Saccharomyces cerevisiae S288C: one gene and its partners. The protein of the gene in region 3 purifies or fractionates together with the protein of the main gene of each other region. This does not show direct contact. Each region holds a gene or a part of one and is shown on either strand. Other genes may lie near its edges. The genes, in order: HSP104, QNS1, CPR6 and URA2.

What was found.
Region 1: the proteins of CPR6 (region 3) and HSP104 purify together in Saccharomyces cerevisiae (affinity purification with mass spectrometry; 3 studies listed by BioGRID). This does not show direct contact.
Region 2: the proteins of CPR6 (region 3) and QNS1 purify together in Saccharomyces cerevisiae (affinity purification with mass spectrometry, with the first as the bait; 2 studies listed by BioGRID). This does not show direct contact.
Region 4: the proteins of CPR6 (region 3) and URA2 purify together in Saccharomyces cerevisiae (affinity purification with mass spectrometry; 5 studies listed by BioGRID, with this or other methods). This does not show direct contact.

What each region holds. Positions count from the first base shown.
Region 1 is NC_001144.5:86,662-91,886, forward strand, and holds HSP104 (chaperone ATPase HSP104), read left to right. Parts: upstream 1-1,961; coding exon 1,962-4,688; downstream 4,689-5,225. Other genes in the region: Fe-binding Fe/S cluster assembly protein ISA1, read left to right, coding at 742-1,494. UniProt on the Saccharomyces cerevisiae protein: Required, in concert with Hsp40 (YDJ1) and Hsp70 (SSA1) and small Hsps (HSP26), for the dissociation, resolubilization and refolding of aggregates of damaged proteins after heat or other environmental stresses.
Region 2 is NC_001140.6:244,187-248,852, reverse strand, and holds QNS1 (glutamine-dependent NAD(+) synthetase), read right to left. Parts: upstream 2,661-4,666; coding exon 516-2,660; downstream 1-515. Other genes in the region: PPE1 (phosphoprotein phosphatase methylesterase 1), read left to right, coding at 1-414; oxysterol-binding protein related protein OSH3, read right to left, coding at 3,281-4,666.
Region 3 is NC_001144.5:571,553-574,871, reverse strand, and holds CPR6 (peptidylprolyl isomerase CPR6), read left to right. Parts: upstream 1-1,660; coding exon 1,661-2,776; downstream 2,777-3,319. Other genes in the region: MSC3 (Msc3p), read right to left, coding at 1-721; COA4 (Coa4p), read left to right, coding at 954-1,406; cell proliferation protein CDC123, read left to right, coding at 3,014-3,319. UniProt on the Saccharomyces cerevisiae protein: PPIases accelerate the folding of proteins. It catalyzes the cis-trans isomerization of proline imidic peptide bonds in oligopeptides.
Region 4 is NC_001142.9:166,324-174,071, forward strand, and holds the start of URA2 (bifunctional carbamoylphosphate synthetase/aspartate transcarbamylase), read right to left. Parts: upstream 6,045-7,748; coding exon 1-6,044. Other genes in the region: TRK1 (Trk1p), read right to left, coding at 7,276-7,748. UniProt on the Saccharomyces cerevisiae protein: Multifunctional protein that encodes the first 2 enzymatic activities of the de novo pyrimidine pathway: carbamoylphosphate synthetase (CPSase; EC 6.3.5.5) and aspartate transcarbamylase (ATCase; EC 2.1.3.2).

The DNA of each region.
Region 1 (5,225 bases), 480 kb from region 3:
ACATAGCATTATAGACACTGTGCAGCGTAAAGCTGACATATAAAGAAATTACAAAAAAAAATTAAAAAAAAAAAAAAAAACAATCAAAAAAGACACACAACTACAGAACAAAGGAAATCTTTTTCTATGCACAAGCACAAGAGTACTTAGAGAGTAGTGATATCCCCTTTTTTTTCTACTATTTTTTTTTTTCCCATTTTTTTCCTCCAAGACTCCTCTTATGTGGTTGTTATGTATAGCCCATAGTTACTAAATAAAACACTAATTAATGATTAATAATCCCTCTCTAATAAGAAATAGATAAAAGCTATTGTTCTTCTCATCGCCGGTTCTCGGCGTTGTCCGTACCCTTGGCCGAAACTCGGGCGGGGGCTTATTAGTCATACCCTCAGATTTCATTGGTCAGATAACAGTCACCCGGTAAATGCCCGTTTAATGACTTCTTTATTTTGGATTAAAATTGACAGGGAATTTCAACGGAATAAAGGAAAGAGATTGAGATGCTTTTAATTCATAAAGGAAAGGGAAAGAGGACAGGAAAGCAAGGAAGAGTAATGGAATTTTGCAAATATTTGTAAATCCTTTAGAATTACTAAGAAACTGTTATTTATTGACATTATTTTACTCGTCTTATTTATTTATTTATACATTTGGCCACCATTTTTGCACTCGTACGAAAGACCATTTTAGATTTTTTTGATTTGGTAGTATAACAAACGATCGGAACAATAACGTAACATAATGATAAACACAGGAAGAAGCAGGAATTCAGTACTGCTGGCACACAGATTCCTTTCAACTGGAGGATTTTGGCGAGGCGGTACGAATGGCACAATGTCTCGCACAATCAACAACGTAAATCCTTTCAAATTAAAATTCATACCGAAGACAGTGCCCGCAGCTGCAGACTCTGTCTCTCCAGATAGTCAACGTCCAGGTAAGAAGCCCTTCAAATTCATAGTTTCCAATCAGAGCAAGAGTAGCAAGGCTTCTAAAAGCCCGAAGTGGTCGAGCTACGCATTCCCTTCGCGTGAGACCATCAAATCTCATGAGGAGGCCATCAAGAAGCAGAATAAAGCTATAGACGAGCAAATAGCTGCTGCAGTATCCAAGAATGACTGCTCTTGCACAGAACCTCCCAAGAAAAGAAAGAGGAAATTGAGACCAAGAAAGGCGCTGATCACCCTGAGTCCGAAGGCAATCAAGCATTTAAGGGCACTGCTAGCTCAGCCGGAACCTAAATTGATTAGAGTTAGCGCTAGAAACCGTGGATGTTCAGGACTAACGTACGATCTACAATATATCACCGAGCCGGGGAAATTCGATGAGGTAGTAGAACAAGATGGCGTTAAAATTGTCATCGATTCAAAGGCGTTATTCAGCATCATTGGAAGTGAAATGGACTGGATCGACGACAAGTTGGCCTCTAAGTTTGTCTTCAAGAATCCAAACTCCAAGGGCACATGCGGTTGTGGCGAGAGTTTCATGGTTTAAAAACCTTCTGCACCATTTTTAGAAAAAAAGAATCTACCTATTCACTTATTTATTCATTTACTTATTTATTTACATATTTATCATACATATTAACATTGAACCCTCCATCGTGGTAGTGTTTGCTGTTCCTAACTTTTCTTTCGTTGTTCTTGTAGATATATATTTTTCCAGAATTTTCTAGAAGGGTTATTAATTACAATCTTAAACGTTCCATAAGGGGCCGCGATTTTTTTGTTCAATTTTCAACAGGGGGCCCATCTCAAAGAACTGCAAATTATATCACAGTAAAAGGCAAAGGGGCGCAAACTTATGCAACCTGCCAGATTATTATATAAGGCATTGTAATCTTGCCTCAATTCCTTCATAATTCGTTCCTTTGTCACTTGTTCCTTTTTACCCTTGAATCGAATCAGCAATAACAAAGAAAAAAGAAATCAACTACACGTACCATAAAATATACAGAATATATGAACGACCAAACGCAATTTACAGAAAGGGCTCTAACGATTTTGACGTTGGCTCAAAAATTGGCTTCGGATCATCAACATCCACAATTACAACCTATACATATTCTAGCTGCCTTCATTGAAACGCCAGAAGATGGATCAGTCCCTTACCTACAGAATCTAATTGAGAAGGGCCGTTACGACTATGATCTTTTCAAGAAAGTGGTTAATAGAAATCTAGTAAGAATTCCTCAACAGCAACCTGCACCTGCGGAGATAACTCCAAGTTATGCTTTGGGGAAAGTCCTTCAAGACGCTGCTAAGATTCAAAAACAACAGAAGGACTCATTTATAGCGCAAGACCATATATTGTTTGCTCTATTCAATGATTCGTCTATTCAGCAAATATTTAAGGAAGCTCAAGTAGATATTGAGGCCATCAAGCAACAAGCTCTTGAACTTCGTGGTAACACTAGAATTGACTCTCGTGGCGCTGATACGAACACACCTTTGGAATATTTATCAAAGTACGCCATTGATATGACTGAGCAGGCTCGTCAAGGTAAACTTGACCCTGTCATCGGCCGTGAAGAAGAAATAAGAAGCACTATTAGAGTTTTAGCAAGAAGAATTAAGTCCAACCCATGTTTAATTGGTGAGCCAGGTATCGGTAAGACCGCTATTATTGAAGGTGTTGCTCAAAGAATCATTGACGATGACGTTCCCACTATCTTACAAGGCGCTAAATTGTTCAGTCTAGATTTGGCCGCATTAACCGCAGGTGCTAAATACAAAGGTGATTTCGAAGAAAGATTCAAAGGTGTTTTGAAGGAAATCGAAGAATCAAAGACTCTAATTGTGTTATTCATTGATGAAATTCACATGTTAATGGGTAATGGTAAGGACGACGCTGCTAACATCTTGAAGCCAGCTTTGTCCAGAGGCCAATTGAAGGTCATCGGTGCCACCACCAATAACGAATATAGATCTATTGTGGAAAAGGATGGTGCCTTTGAAAGAAGATTCCAGAAAATTGAAGTCGCTGAACCAAGTGTGAGACAAACAGTGGCCATATTGAGAGGTCTGCAACCAAAGTATGAAATACATCATGGTGTAAGGATTCTGGATAGCGCCTTAGTCACTGCTGCTCAATTAGCCAAGCGTTACTTGCCATATAGAAGATTGCCAGATTCTGCTTTGGATTTAGTTGATATTTCTTGTGCTGGTGTCGCCGTCGCAAGAGATTCTAAGCCAGAAGAATTGGATTCCAAGGAACGTCAATTGCAATTGATTCAAGTAGAGATAAAAGCTCTAGAGAGAGATGAAGATGCCGACTCCACCACTAAAGATAGATTAAAGTTAGCTAGGCAGAAGGAAGCTTCATTGCAAGAAGAATTGGAACCTCTAAGACAACGTTACAATGAAGAAAAGCATGGCCATGAAGAATTGACACAAGCTAAAAAGAAATTGGATGAACTGGAAAACAAGGCCCTTGATGCTGAACGTAGATATGATACTGCTACCGCCGCTGATTTAAGGTACTTCGCCATCCCAGATATCAAAAAGCAAATCGAAAAGCTTGAAGATCAGGTTGCTGAGGAAGAGAGACGTGCTGGTGCCAACTCCATGATCCAAAATGTGGTCGATTCAGACACCATTTCTGAAACAGCTGCAAGATTGACTGGTATCCCTGTTAAGAAGTTGTCAGAATCTGAAAATGAAAAATTGATTCATATGGAACGTGACTTATCATCTGAAGTCGTGGGCCAAATGGATGCCATTAAAGCTGTTTCCAATGCCGTTAGATTGTCTAGATCAGGTTTAGCTAATCCAAGGCAACCAGCATCCTTCTTATTTTTAGGTTTGTCCGGTTCCGGTAAAACTGAATTGGCTAAAAAAGTTGCTGGATTTTTGTTTAATGATGAGGACATGATGATCAGGGTCGATTGTTCTGAATTAAGCGAGAAGTATGCGGTCTCTAAGTTGTTGGGTACCACGGCAGGTTATGTCGGGTACGATGAAGGTGGCTTTTTAACTAACCAACTGCAATACAAACCATACTCCGTTTTGTTATTCGATGAAGTAGAAAAGGCACATCCTGATGTTTTGACTGTCATGCTACAAATGTTGGATGACGGTAGAATTACTTCTGGTCAAGGTAAGACGATCGACTGTTCCAATTGTATTGTCATCATGACTTCCAATCTAGGTGCTGAATTTATCAATTCTCAACAAGGATCAAAGATCCAAGAATCTACCAAGAATTTGGTCATGGGTGCTGTTAGGCAACATTTCAGACCAGAATTTTTGAACAGAATTTCTAGTATAGTCATTTTCAACAAGCTATCTAGAAAAGCTATTCATAAGATCGTGGATATTCGTTTGAAGGAAATTGAAGAGAGATTCGAGCAAAATGATAAACATTACAAGTTGAATTTAACTCAAGAGGCCAAGGACTTCTTGGCCAAATATGGTTATTCCGATGATATGGGTGCACGTCCACTGAACAGGTTAATTCAAAACGAAATTTTGAACAAACTGGCACTAAGGATCTTAAAGAATGAAATCAAGGATAAGGAAACTGTCAATGTCGTCTTGAAGAAGGGTAAATCTCGTGATGAAAATGTTCCTGAGGAAGCTGAAGAATGTCTGGAAGTTCTACCAAATCACGAAGCTACTATAGGGGCTGACACGTTAGGTGATGACGATAATGAGGACAGTATGGAAATTGATGATGACCTAGATTAATTTAATATAGTGTGATTTTTAAAAACTTTCGAACAAGAATCAGTAATATAATATATATAATTAATAAAACTAATGGAATTTGTTTAATTGAACTTGACACCCGAGCAAAAGAGCTCACATTTTAACGTTTAGTTCATCTTGCTGTGAATAATCTAAAAGTAAACAATGGACAAAAAAGTCCACTGGACGTCAAATCTTTTTTTATTGTATTTGGGACATATGGCGTTGATAACTAAAGTTTAAAGGAAGTAATAAGTGAAGGTTAAATCTGGACCTCTTTACTTTCATATTAGAAGTATAAAACACACGCGGATTGGTCCATTATTAGAATACGGGTACTACAATAATGGTTTTGATAGTTACTGTACATTTGAATGTAGCGACTCATATGACTCATATATATGACTACCAAATCATGTTAAAATTAGTATATCTTTAACTTAGACTTCAGTACTATCTGAACTGCACGTTTAAATTTTTACCATAGCAGTTCATGTAATATTAATAATCACTTGTGCCAATATAATGTTACAGCGA
Region 2 (4,666 bases), on a different chromosome or scaffold from region 3:
GTCGATTGGCACGTTCAACACGCGTTATCGAGATTGAGGTCAAGCGCCGAAATTGCTATACCAGCTTTATTTGCTCCGCTCAAGTCAGGGAAAGTTGTCAGGATAACAAACCTTAAGACCTTTAGCCCTTTCTGGGACACATGGTTTACCGATCTGTCGCACTCCTTTGTTGGCTTACCTGTTAGTAAATTATTAATATTGGCGGGAAACGAAAATCTCGATAAAGAATTAATTGTGGGGCAAATGCAAGGTAAATATCAGTTGGTAGTTTTCCAAGATTCCGGGCATTTCATTCAAGAAGATTCGCCTATAAAAACAGCAATCACTTTAATTGATTTCTGGAAGCGGAACGATTCTAGGAATGTAGTAATCAAGACTAATTGGGGTCAACACAAAACCGTGCAAAATACATAAGGGTTAAATATCACTTTTATATCTTTATTTATGATAGAATAAATAACAGAATATATGAACTCGTGGAAAAGTCTTATTTTGCTGTGAGCACTTCTTCTGTGCTAATCAATAGACATAATGTCAAGCGTTGAGCCTTTATGTGCTTCACACTGCTCGACAACTTCATCAATTTTTCTTGAAGCCCATGGAAATCTTGGGTTGATTAAGAAAGGACGTAAGTCAAATCTGTTGTCTTCTGGTGAATACTGTTCAGCATGATAACTAGGAGTTAAAACAGTTTGCTTGTGTCTGTTGATGGCATAGAAGAAGAAAAATCTTTTCACCTTTTCAGATATTTGACGAGGTGTTAACTTTGGGGACCATTGATGAAGAAGTTTTAAGAACATAGAATAAGGACCACATTTTTCAACCTTTCTTAGGTAACCAAACACGCCCAATTCTTCATACGTCATCCCCATATCTATCTCATCCGATTGAACGTAATCTTTAGTCATAGGTTCTAATTCTGCAGTTGGTGTAGCGTTTAAAAAGTCATTCAAGATTGGCATGTTATATTGTTTTGATGCGTAGGCAATGAATCTTTTCAAGTCAGTTTTTGAAATACCCCCAATAGGGTTGATATCTGCGGAGGAGCAGTCATATTTTGTTAGATACCCACGTAAGCACTCATCAACATTTGCGCTACCAAGTACTAACAATCCACCCGAGTTTGGGATACCACGAACCCACGGCAACAGTTGCGCAAAAAGATAAGAAAGAACCATTCTTAGACGCGCCTGGATGTTTTGTAAAGCCAAGTTCTCGATTTGAGATCCCCCAAATATTTTGTATATTGGTTTTTTGCCAGTGGCTACTTCGAATAAGGACACCACACTGGATACCAATGAGTCCATCTTTAAATCCACGTGGTAAGATCCAATTGCATTGGAAAGGTCCTTTGCTCTGTTTCTTGTCTCCTTGGATGAATTTTCCGTACCCATGAAACAGGAGTGAAATATTTTTGAGGCTAGATCCTGTGGACTGTCTGGAATCCAATCATCGCCGCTACGTGTTATCTTACGAACGTCTTTGATAACTTGCTCATTTCCATTTTGAGCAGCGTCGGTCACTAAACGGCACATAGAGTGGACAATCATTGCAGTTGCACAAGAGTCAATGCCCCCAGATAAGGGAAGGAAAAACCCTGTTCCGTTACAACGTCTTAAATAATCCCACATCCAGCAAGCAGGTCCCAGTGCAATTTCTTCCTCAGGAGAGTGATAGAAAGGCTCGCGGACTTTTGTTGGACACACTGTAGGATCAAATCTGGAGGTCATTAAAGCCAATTCTACAGGAATATCAATACGCTTGAACTTTATTTCTGCCAAGGAGGCTTGTAGGCCACGAGACATGACAGCTGCACGATAACTCCTCACCTCTTCTAGGTCCACAGTAGCAGTAACTACTTCCACATCATCTAGCGAAAATTGTGAACCTTGGGCTACAATTGTACCATTGATGGCAATTAGTGCACAGCCATCATAATATAATCTGTCACCATCACAACCTCTTTGATTTGCATACAAGTAAACACCACCACAACGTTTAGTGGCATTTAAAATTAGGTCTAACCTTTTATTTAACTTACGCAGTTCATGATGAGAACCAGATGAGTTTGTCATGATTTCCACACCATCTAAAGACATGGCGATGTGGGGGGATTGAGGTGTAAACAATTCTTCACAAGTTTCTGTACCAATGCATGTATCCAATGAATTTATCACAGCGTCCCCAAATGGCACAAGTCTCTGGCCGGTAACTTTCTGAATCTCAGGTGGAAGGATAAAGTCCTCCACCACGCCAGGTTTCATCCAAGGTGTGAAAAATCTCATTTCCCTATAGTTACCATCATTAGCTAACCAAATCTTAGGTCTTATGAACAATATCTCACCATCCAAGGATAACAAACGACAATTATAACGAACATTCTTGTGTAGAACGGGCATACCAATGTCAAGTATTAATCCATGGGTTTCTTTATTCTTAATGATTTGAGCATACATTTCCCATGAATGAAGGCAAACGTCATTTTCTAAAAAATGATCTAAACATCCGTAGCCAGTTATTTCCAGTTCTGGGCCGACACGTAACCTGGCACCCCTCTCTTTGGCAATCTTAATGGACTGTAGGATACGGTCTCTATTACCTTCAAAATCTAGGGCCCATTGATTCAAGTTGCATGTAGCTAAAGTGATAAGATGTGACATTACTGGCAGGGAGTCAAAAAAAGAATGCCAGGGTATTTGGGGGTATTTTTACAAGCAATATCAATTGATGATGTGAGCATATAGTCTATTTTGAGGTAACCAGTTGATAATCTTATATTTCCCTTCCATATTCCTCTTTATCTTTTTCGACGAAACTATTGGGGCCTCTTGATATGACTTAGCAGGACATATAAAGGATAAGATGTTCCAAGCTATGTTATCTTTGACAAGTTTTGATAGCAATAGACTTTCAATTCCAAATTTAGGCACCTTTTGTAAGATCCTGTGTTCGTAAACTTTTCTTCAAAAAACATGGATCTAACTGACTGAAAGAGTTCATTATCTTTCAATTATGTGATGAAATTCTATTGTTTTTTTCAAGTTTTGCAACTAATCATAAAATAGAATGTTTTTACAGTCAAGCAAACAAAAATAGTGTAGAACTGTTAATATAAAATTAGTGTGAAAGATTGATCAAGAATTTATAAAGTCCTTCATGTTGTATATAGTATACTATACATGAACGCATATACAAGTAATTTGTGTGGATGATCATTAAAGATGGAAAATAAATAGAGTACAAAGGGGGGAAAAAAGTTCACTTGATGTCATCAAGGCATTCACCAGAGTTGAGAAATATCAGACCAATCATGCTTCTTTCTTCTTTCCCAATAACTCTTCGGTCCAGTTATGTATTTCCATTCATTCTTAGATACTTTTTCGAAATATTTAGGCTCCACATCTTGCCCTTTATTACGTCTTTCACGTTGAAGTTGTTCCAATTTCAGCTTCCACTCTTCCGCCTTATCAACATTTCCCTCCTCGTAAGCTCTAATATCTGGTCTTAATCTTGAGTCCGTAGGTGGTAAATTGCCCTTTTCAATTTCAGTTATCTCATTCAAATTTGCGGTGAATTTAGTAAAGCCATATTTCTTCTTCGGATTGCTAACTAAATCACCTACTTCCCATATAGTTTCATGTGTAGTTTCATTAGCTAAACTCTGTGTCCATTTACCAGCTAGAGTTTCCTTCTTGCGATTGCTCGAAGGTGGTGGGATTATCGAAACCTTAAATCCTTCAGATCTTCCACTAAACATACCTGCCTTATCGAACAGGATGTGTGATTTGTCTCCCTTCGAAGAATGTACTTCGAATTCGTTGACAGGCTCCATATATCTCTCACCCGCTATCAAATTTTTTAAAATAGTTGTTGGTTGCGTCCATTCAAATAGTTCTCCAGTTGTCTTAAACTTCAATCTCAGTATACCTTCGTTATTCAATTCAATAGACTTACCCCAAAACTTTTGCGATGGCGTTACAGTGTAACTACACTCCCAGTCGAGATGCTCTGCAAAGAAGGCAAATACTGGAGGACGATGTGAGACCTTTTCCGATATAAGCCTAAACCCCATATCTTCTCGTATAAGTTCAAATGTTTCAGCCAGTAAAGGATTAAAAGGCTTTCTTAGCGTTCTTGTTTTATCCCTATATATGGAAAGAAAGGAAATAGCAAATGCAGAAACAAAGGTTATAGGATCAGGACGTTGGGTAGCCTTCGTTAAAAGTGGAGCATACTCAAATGTTTCTGATATCAACTGCAAAATAGAAATAGGCTCATTTGAGGTTACTGGCATGGCAATAGAGCTCAGATCTTTGCCTACATTCTTTCTCAAAAAAGATAATAGGCTTGGCGGAGAAGCTGCAGCTTCAGGTATGTCATTACGGCGTGTAACACTCTTTGGATAGGAAAGAGCAAACAAATCCTTACTTGTAAATGTTTCTGTTGAGGATTGGGCGCTTTTGGTTTTTTGATGATGAGGGTGGCCACGGCGACGATTTTTGTGACGATTTTTGAGGTGTTTACGGCTATGATTTTCATCGTTAGTTGTATAGCTCTCCACACTTGATGAAGCTATCTGTTCGGATCCCGACAATTGGACCTCTTTTGTGAACTCATTTTGGTCACTTTTACCAAGAAGGGGAGTTTCCTCGACTATATTATTAAT
Region 3 (3,319 bases):
CGTTATCTGTTTCGTTTTCCTCGATTATATCGTGAATGTTATCACTAGCTTGTTCCTCTAAAATGTCGTCATCTTGCAACATGTAATTTTCACTAAATTCATCGAAATGACGCTGCGAGTCACCTAATGGAACCAAATTCTTAGTCGTAGTCGTGGTTTCTACGTATTCATACCCATTTATTTTTCTTATTGTCTTTTTGGTAATTGATTGAGTCCTTCCTGAAGGGTCTGTTACTTGTGTAGTCTTTACGGTAATGGAGTTGGCCCTTGAATCGTTATTGTTGCCGGCCGTCGATTTGTTCTTACCGTAGTTTCTTCTGACATTCGCACCAGACGTCATAGAATTCATACGGCTCCCATTAGTAGTATAACCGGGCGGGTGTAAATGGTACTCTCCGCTCCTTTGCGACCTCAACGAGTAAGTCTTCTGTGAATACTGCTTAGCTGCTGCCCTGGACGTTGGCGGAGCGGCAGAGGATGTGGAAAGCCTTCTTCCTGGGCTCTTTACCGAACTTCTTTGTCTCGGTATTGAAGGTGCATGACTAACCAGCGAGTGCGACCTTGAGTAATTGGTTCGATCCGGTGATGCGGCAGAAGCAGCAGAGGCAGCAGCAGCAGAGAGCTGAGGACTTTTGTTATAATCTTCATGGTTCTGATAGTAGTAATCATACCTAGATAAATCAGGTACCCTCCTGTCCCTCTTTGTAAAACCAAATACCATTTTCAACTTTCTTGATCAACAGAATGTCTTTGTTTGTTTATTCTAGTGAAAAAATAGAAGTAAAAAGCAATCAATATAAGCAACGTGAAACGATCGAAGGAAACTAAAAGAGGTTTGATGTTAGAAGAATTGATTAACACCAAATCAAGCAATTTATTGAAGTATGGGTCCCTGATGTTTGTCCTTCTCGTTCTTGCTTTCCCTCCCCTCTTCTCATCCATTCGCTTCATTTATGCTTTTATTTTCTTCTTTTTTTTCTCACAACAAATGTCCGAAACAAAAAAAGGGGCCTCAGCCATTAAAGGTAGTGAAAGGCACTTCTAAGAGTTGCGCCAAACAAGGGAAGATTAAAGGGAAAGAAAAGCTCTGGCAGGCTAAAACTGGCAGACTGGTCATGAGTGAAACTGGCGAAACTTCAGAGTATTATAAGCAGGCGCTGGAAGAATACAAAGAGGTCCAAGAAGACGAAGACCCGGATGTGTGGGACACGAGAATATCCAAGACCGGATGCTACGTAGAGAACCTCGCATTACAGCTGTGCCATGCCGAAACAGGTGACTGGAGGCAGTGCTTCAACGAGATGGCGTTATTTAGGAAGTGTTGGGAAAAGAATGGTAATAGAGAGCGCGTAAGCACAGTGGACGTGGATGGGACGACCAGTAAGGATTCGGAAAAGAAGAAATGAAAATCTAAATGTCGTGATGTATAACTTGTATATAATAGACAGCTGCAGTGATCGAAACACATTGTTTCCCTTTATAGAACATAACTGTTACGCTTTTGAACGGCATTTCTATGAGCTTCTAGAATATTTTTCCGCCCTAGCTGGAGAAAGTTCAGACAGAAAATTATTTAAATAAGTCGAATATCAGAGGTGCTGATGCGCTCACATCACATAGAAAACTGGTAAGACAATATTCAGGCGATCAAGGAGTAAAAATGACTAGACCTAAAACTTTTTTTGATATTTCTATTGGAGGTAAACCCCAAGGCCGTATAGTTTTTGAGTTGTACAATGACATAGTGCCTAAAACGGCTGAAAATTTTTTGAAGTTGTGTGAAGGAAATGCTGGTATGGCAAAGACTAAACCTGATGTACCATTGTCGTACAAGGGTTCCATTTTCCACAGAGTGATCAAAGACTTCATGTGTCAATTTGGTGATTTTACCAATTTTAATGGTACTGGCGGTGAGAGCATATACGATGAAAAATTCGAGGATGAAAATTTCACTGTTAAACATGATAAACCATTCCTTCTATCCATGGCCAACGCCGGTCCAAATACCAATGGATCTCAAGCTTTCATAACCTGTGTTCCTACACCTCATTTGGACGGGAAGCACGTTGTGTTTGGTGAAGTGATTCAAGGTAAAAGAATTGTTCGTTTGATTGAAAACCAACAATGTGACCAAGAAAACAACAAGCCATTGCGTGATGTAAAGATTGATGACTGTGGCGTGTTACCTGACGATTATCAAGTGCCAGAGAATGCCGAAGCTACACCAACAGATGAGTACGGCGATAATTATGAAGATGTTTTAAAACAAGACGAAAAAGTTGACTTGAAGAATTTCGACACCGTCTTGAAAGCTATCGAAACGGTAAAGAACATTGGTACTGAACAGTTCAAGAAACAGAACTATTCCGTGGCTTTAGAAAAATATGTCAAATGTGATAAATTCTTGAAAGAGTATTTCCCAGAAGATTTGGAGAAGGAACAAATTGAAAAAATCAATCAATTGAAAGTGTCTATTCCATTGAATATTGCCATCTGTGCTCTTAAATTAAAAGATTACAAGCAAGTATTAGTAGCCTCATCGGAGGTGTTATATGCCGAAGCGGCTGACGAAAAAGCCAAGGCCAAAGCTTTGTACCGTCGTGGCCTGGCCTATTACCATGTTAATGACACAGATATGGCTCTCAATGACCTAGAAATGGCCACTACTTTCCAGCCAAATGACGCTGCCATTTTGAAAGCTATTCATAATACTAAATTAAAAAGAAAGCAACAAAACGAAAAAGCTAAAAAGTCTCTTTCGAAGATGTTCTCCTGATTACTTGCATTATATATATGCTTATATGTTTAAATACTAAACAGTTGCGCTGCCTCAGTAGTTAAGTAAAAAGTACGTAGAAAACTCTGTTAAAAAAATTATTTTTTCAGGCATAATAAGCGGATATTTTCCGATGTCCATTTATGCAGTGGGAAGATTAAGAAGCTAATGATACCGTAACTCCACCAGTGAAACTAAAACGTGCGTCCAAAAAGCGCTGACATAAATTACTTATTGATGTCCTCACAAGAATATACAACTTTTATAGATATACCAGTGACAAGAGCGCAGGTTGAACACTGTTCTTACTCGTTTTGGTCCTCACTGTATCCCAAATATGTGCCAAAATCCATAGTGTTAAAATCCTTACCGAAAAAATTTATTCAATATTTGGAACAAGACGGTATCAAGCTACCCCAAGAGGAAAACTCCAGGTCTGTGTACACCGAGGAAATAATAAGAAATGAAGATAATGACTATAGTGATTGGGAGGACGATGAGGATACCGCCACCGAATTTGTCCAAGAAGTTGAGCCATTGATA
Region 4 (7,748 bases), on a different chromosome or scaffold from region 3:
TCTTCTGAATGACGCATGACAATGGCATCACTGTAACAAGCCAAAGTTCTGATAGTATCTTGAAGGGTTTCACCTTTCTTGACAGAAGACACCAATGGATTAACATTTACAATTCTACCACCCAAACGTTCCATAGCAGCAATGAATGAAGAACAAGTACGAGTAGATGGTTCAAAGAAAATTGTAGTAATAACGTGGCCTTTCATTAAATCTAAGACACCTTCTCTTGCGACAGCTGCCCTTAGTTCTTGTGCAACAGCAAACAACACATGGAAATCAGAACGTTTGAATTGTTTGATAGACAATATATGTCTTCCGCGGAATGGATTGTTACTACGGATCAAATTCTGGATGGCGCCTGGAGCAACAAGTTCTCTTGGTGGCCTTGAAGACATCAATTTTTGTTCCAAAGGCTGTTCTGGAATTGCATCCTCCGCGGCATCTAAATTATCAGCGATTGCTTCTTCCGTGATCGAGAACCTTCTTTTAGCACTAGTAGATTGGAGCTCTGCGGAAGCAGTTATGGAAGCTGGACTTGGATTAACAATGCATTTTCCTTTGGCGCCTGGTGAAACTAATTCACCGCTCAAAACTAATGTTTCGCCATTATAGACAACACGCTCAATACCACCGTTCATATCTTTGTTGAATGGTGACCATCTCTTATTACGTCTGAAAGAATAATCCAAATCAATTTCGACAACTGAGTCCTGAGTAGGGATGTTGAAAATTTTAGCGGGATTGTCATGCAGACGAAGGACGATATCATCAATGGTTAATTTACCTTCTTCAACAGCAGCCAACAATAGTGGTAATGAATCTTTGATACCCATACCAACATCAACCTTGTTACCTGTGACATTTGCCAAGGCGACAGGAAGAGCACCGACAGAGAAAGCATCGATACTATCAAGGTTGTTCCAGAAAAACTCTTGATCTTCCTTAGTAGGCAAGAAAACTGCCTCCGGATAGTCATCTTGGGCAATAAACAAAGAATAAATATTGACATCACAAGTCACTCTAGGGTCTTTTGCCTTGACCGTCATGATCAAAGCTAAATCTTCCTTATTCGAAACACCAGTAATGTGAATAGATCTGTTTTGAAGGGAGGTTAACAATAAAACCGATGCCAAATCTGCAGTTTTAGCTTCTGCAATCACTTGCTTTTCAGTTGGCCACTGATTCAGAAGTTCAGCTACTGCTGTGATCTTGTTCTTTAATTCACGTAGGGGCAAAAACAATGCTGTCACTTTGCTAGCAGATTGCGTAACACTATGAGCATTGTGTGCTGTACCAGCAATAGTGAAAGAAAAGTCAGTGTAAGATGAATCTTGGGAAACAGAGTTTGCGGCCTTCAAGGATGCAACGTCAGTAATAACAGGTCCGCTGATGGATCTGGGCATCAATTGACAGTATGTAAAACCGGATTCCAAAAATAGACGTGTGGTCTCCTTCAGTTCAGCTGGGCCTTTGATAACATGGGATGCATTCGGAACATAAGTTGCGATATTGATTAAACCAGGTAAGGTAATAGTTCTGTGGGAAGTTTGTGCATCACGTTCAGAAACATCTAAAGTGATATTTCTTGAAATGGCTTCAATCAACAATTTTGCACATTTAACGTTAGTAACCAACGGAACCGAATAATCGACAGCCAAACGACGTGTTTTATACCCCTTTGAAACATAGGATGCAGGACGACGGAACCTGTTGGCAGAAGGCAAGTTGATGTAAAGGTCAATTTCATTATTAGCCAAATGTTGAGTAAGTGAGTATTCTGATTTTTGATCATCATCATCCTTGTTTAAAACCTCCAGATATTGGACGGCAATACCATGTTCAGATAAAAAGTCAGCAGTACCTGATGTTGCAAATAATTTATATCCCATGTTGTATAGTTTTTGTACGGAAGAAAGCAATTCTTGTTTTTCCTTGTAAGAACCAATAGACAATAAAATATTCTTCTTTGGAAGTTTGAAGCCGGTTGCCAACAAAGACTTTAAGTATGCTTCATACTTCGAGTGGCCAAAAGTAGCGACTTCACCAGTAGAGGCCATTTCAACACCTAAGACTGGATCAGCTCCTGCTAAACGTGGGAAAGAGAATTGTGGTACTTTAACGGCGACATAATCATCTGGTAATTTTTCAACAGGATAAGGCGTCAAAGGCAAACCCATTATGGCCTTTGTTGCCAATTCAATCAGATTGACGCCAACAACCTTTGAAATGAATGGGAAAGATCTCGAAGCACGAACATTACATTCTATGACCTTGATTTCATTGTCCTTTGCAATGAATTGGATGTTGTATGGACCTGTAATTTTCAAAGCCTTACCAATTTTAGCAGTGGCGACAACAATTCTATCCACAGTTTCAGGAGCCAAATCTTGAGGTGGAACGATTAATGTTGCATCACCCGAGTGGACACCTGCATTTTCAACATGCTCAGAGACAACATGCATAACCAATTCACCATTTCTTGCAACTGCATCCATTTCAATCTCCTTTGCGTTTTCAATATATTTAGTGATAACAACAGGATAATCACGTGAAACTTCGACGGCTTGGTTTAAGTAGGATTCCAAATCGTTTTTAGAATAAACAGTATTCATGGCGGCACCGGATAACACATAAGATGGACGTACCAAAACTGGATAACCCACCTTTTCGGCAAAAGATTCAGCTTCGTCCATGGATGTCAATTCTTTCCAAGCTGGTTGGTCAACACCAATTTGATCCAACATACGAGAGAACTTGTAACGGTTTTCAGCAGAATCAATCATGTCAGGGGATGTACCAAGAATCTTTACATTTTCACGATGTAAAGTCATGGCGATGTTGTTGGAAGTTTGACCACCCATTGATACGACAACACCGCTTGAGTTTTCAATCTCGTAAATATCCAAAACTCTTTCAAGGTTGATGGTTTCAAAGTATAGTCTATCAGCCTCATCATAATCTGTGGAAACAGTTTCTGGATTATAGTTGACCATGATAGTTTTGATATTGTTGGCACGTAATGTTCTAACTGCAGTAACAGCACACCAATCAAATTCGACAGAAGAACCGATACGGTAAACACCAGAACCCAAGACCATAACACCGTGGTCATCAAAGGATAAATCGTGTGAGTCAGCATTGTATGTCATGTATAAATAGTTCGTGTAAGCGGGGAATTCAGCGGCAACTGTATCAATTTGTTTGACAAATGGTGTAATTCCATATTCTTTTCTTAATCTACGGATGGCAACTTCGTTGGAATCCAAAAATCTTGCAATCTGTCTGTCATCAAAACCTAACTGCTTAGCCTGTCTTAAAACTAAGGAAGGTAATTCCTCTTTAGTACCAAATGAACTAATTTTCTCAGCAAATTGGACCAAATCGTGCAGTTTGTTTAAAAACCACTTATCAATTCTAGTCATTTCCCAGACTTTATCAACAGAATATCCCTTCTTAGCAAAAGCATTTGCAATGGCGAAGACACGCATATCCGTAGGGTTGTTCAACTCGTAATCAATGTCGATATCTAGATCTGTCTCATTGAATCCGAGGTTAGCATATTCTGTGGATCTGATAGCTTTTTGAATAGCTTCTTCGAAGGTTCTACCGATGCTCATAACTTCACCAACAGATTTCATTGATGAAGATAATTCGGTAGAAACTCTGGTGAACTTCTTCAAATCCCATCTTGGCATTTTGACAACACAGTAGTCTAGAGAAGGTTCAAAACAAGCACATGTGGATTTTGTGACGGAATTCTTAACTTCATTTAATGGGATATTCAAACCTAACTTAGCCGCAGTGTAGGCCAATGGGTAACCAGTAGCCTTAGAAGCTAAAGCAGAGGAACGTGACAAACGCGCATTAACTTCAATGATGCAATAATCCTTAGAAACGGGATTTAAAGCATATTGGATATTACATTCACCAACAACACCTAAGTGTCTAATAACATTAACAGCAGTAGTTCTTAACATATTGTAATCTTCATCAGATAAAGTTTGAGATGGGGCTACAACGATGGAATCACCGGTGTGAATACCTAGTGGATCAAAATTTTCCATATTACAAACAGTAATACAGTTGTCAAAAGCATCACGAACAACTTCATATTCGACTTCTTTCCAACCTTTCATAGATTTCTCGACTAAAACTTGAGGTGAGGATGAAAATGCAACATTACATAGATCAACCAATTCTTTTTCATTATTAGCGAAACCGGAACCTAAACCTCCCAATGCATATGCAGCACGTACAATAACTGGGAAACCGATCTCCTTGACAGCGGCCAATGCCTCGTCCACTGAATTAGCAGCTTGAGATTTCGCACATTTTTCATTAATTTCGTCAATGGCATTACTGAAGAGTTCACGGTCTTCCGTGGTAATAATAGTATCGATTGGAGTACCCAATACTTTAACTCCTAACGCCTCAAATTCATCTTTCATGGCTATACCAACAGATAAAGCAGTTTGTCCACCAAATGTCACATAAATGGCGTCCGGCCTTTCATGTAAAATAACTTTTCTCACGAACTCTGCAGTAACAGGAACAAAATAAACCTTATCAGCCAACCCTTTCGAAGTTTGGATGGTAGCAATGTTTGGATTAATTAAAATTGTATAGATACCTTCTTCTTTCAAAGCTTTGATGGCTTGAGAACCAGAGTAGTCAAATTCACCAGCTTGACCGATGGACAAACCACCAGAACCGAGAACTAGAACCTTCTTCGCTTCGATTCTAGGGTGTGCCTTAACGTTATCCTCTAATAGGCCACCTGGGAAAGCGATTGGTTTCAACACTTGTGTATACTTGAATTCTTTAACTGCTTGGATAAAAACGTCAAACAAGAATTCTGTATCTCTTGGGCCAGGTGTGGATTCTGGATGGAATTGGACGGAAAAATAAGGTAATTCAGAATGATAGATACCTTCGTTAGAGTCATCATTCGCGTTAACAAACAATGGCTTCCATCCGGAAGTTAGAGTGTCAACATCCACAGCGAACCCATGGTTTTGAGATGTTATGTAACAACGACCACTTATAGTTGATGTACAAGGTATGTTATGACCACGGTTACCAAATTTTAGTTTTAGGGTGGATGCACCGGCAGCTCTTGCTATCAATTGATGACCGAGACAAATACCGAATACTGGCGTCTTTTTAGCCTCCAGGACATTTGACAATCTTTGAGATAGATCATCTAGAACAGATGGATCACCTGGACCATTTGAAATAAACAGACCATCATAATCTTCTTTAGTGAAATCGTAGTTCCATGGAACAACTTTCAATTCTACACCCCTTTTGATAAAACAACGAATTTGATTGTATTTCATACCCACGTCAATGGCTAGAATCCTTAAAACTTTACCATCGGGTCCGGTTTGCAATTCGATGTGCTTATTGTCTGCTGGAGGAACGTACAATTTAGGTTCATTGATGGAGACCTTAGAAACTAGGTTTTGAACATTTGGATCCACCCATTCAGGAACATCAAACGCACTTCTCCAAGAGGAAGATCTGGAGATGGTTCTGTCAGAGCCGCTTTTTTCCAAAGACAACCTACCCAACATTGAACCTGCATCTCTCAAATGCTTGGTCAATGATCTTGTATCAACACCATAAACAGCTGGGATCCCTTCATTTTGTAACCATTTACCTAAGGAAGATTTAGCAAGATAATGAGAGTACTCGTCGGTATAGTGAGAAATAACTAAACCGGCAATATGGATTCTATTACTTTCAAAATATCTTGGCAATTCTTCGACCAATTCATCTCTCAAGTGCATATCTGGGACACCATAATTGCCTACCAATGGGTAAGTGATGACTAAGATCTGGCCTTCATAAGATGGATCGGTCACAGATTCAGGATAACCAACCATACCAGTTTGGAAAACTAATTCACCAGCGACGGATTTCTCAGCACCAAATGAATAACCTTGTAAGACCGTGCCGTCCTTAAGTTCCAACGTAACCAGACGGTCACCCGTAGATTCCATTGGAGGGGTGATTGGAGCAGTGGGAGCAATAGTGGCCATATTATGATTGTTATATTCTATTAGGTAAGGTTTATGTGTTGTATGCTGCAATTAGTTATGGATTTCTATCGTCGTTAATATTAATGTTAGTAATTGTTGATCGTTCAAGCCAGATGCCGATATAAAATCAGAACTAATTGAAGAGATTGATTTGCTTTCGTGCCATGAAGATCTCTATCAATTGCGATTCTTTTCTTTTTTTTTTCTTTCTTTTTTTTCTTTCCTATTCCAGGTAATGAAAAACGACATCATCGCAGAGTCAAACGGCTTCTATTTTCCACGCCCAGATACTAAAATACGCGCCCACTGATATTGCGACTGGCATCGCATGGTCTGAATAGATGGCAACATTAAGGCTTCTCAAAAGTAATCATAAAAAACATACTCAAATTTGAATGCTAACGGATTATAATGTTTCCTTTTTCTTTCAATTCAAAGTTGAACGTGGTGAGTCTTTAACAAAAGAGTAGAAGTATTTATAAGTTTTTTTGGCTAGATATAGCGGTATTCCTCAATTCTTTCTCAAGTGCTTCCGTAGAGAAAATGTTCAGGAAACCTTTTGTTTGTGGTTGTTGTCGACAGGTTTTTTATTTTCTACAATCAAGAATAAGATAAAAATACAAGACCATTAGGAAAGACGATAATTTGAAAGAAAATTGGTGTAGTTAAAACATACTAGATATGATATTATACTAATTGAGCAAAATAGAGAAGGAAAGAGAGGATTCTCTCTCTGAGTAAAATCGATGAGTGGGGATTTTGTCAAAGTATTTATACTTTTTGTCCATACCATTTGTCCTACTTTTTTACCGTTTTTTTTTTTTTCAAGGCCAGGGAAAAAAGAGTCATTGCGTTTGTGTGACATTTCTTTTAATATTCATCGGAGAACACCGGCGGGCCACAGAGAAAAAAAAAAAGTCCATATTCCATGTACACTGCAAATAACCAAGATTTTTCATTTTTCACGAAAAGAGGGACAATGTACTAATGGCGTTGACGATGACGAAAGCACCATTTTGGACATTGTATGTCGTACATTATCGTAGAGAGATTCGGTTGTCTTTAAGGGACCGAAAAAAAGAAAGAAATCTTAGGACATCAGAAATGTACGTAGGCAAATGTATATCACAATGTTACTAATCAAGGTTAAAAAAAAAAAATCCTTTTAATGCTTAATTACCTTCTTAAATATTGAGTACGAAAACCTATTTCTAAAGAATGAGTATATATGTTAGAGCGTTGTGCTGCTCCTTTTAGGATTTCGGGAATGTGTGGTCTTACGCTTAAGAGCTCCCCAACGATGTTTCACATCAGTGAAACTTCTCTTGAAATGTTCCGTCATTGGGTCTTCTGTATTGGTTCTAGCCTGTCTCTTCAATTTCATGCCCTCAAGGTGGTCAATATGTTCAAGTCTATCACTAGGCAAGATAATTGCACGATCCAGTGAGTATGGTAGACCTCTATTCTTGCCTCTGATCAGCATAGCTATGATCACCAACTTAGATAATGTAGTAAACTGTCTTGAAAACGATTGGTTGGTGTCCGGATAACCTAGCGATAGCCCAACTGTACCGTAAGCGCTAACAATTTCAAAAAGAATTGCAAATATATTAAAGTTTGGTTCTTGTACGTCCTTTATCTTGTCCCCTTCACAAATGCAAATGATAAATAACCCTAAAAATAGAAACCACAAGTCAAATGAAA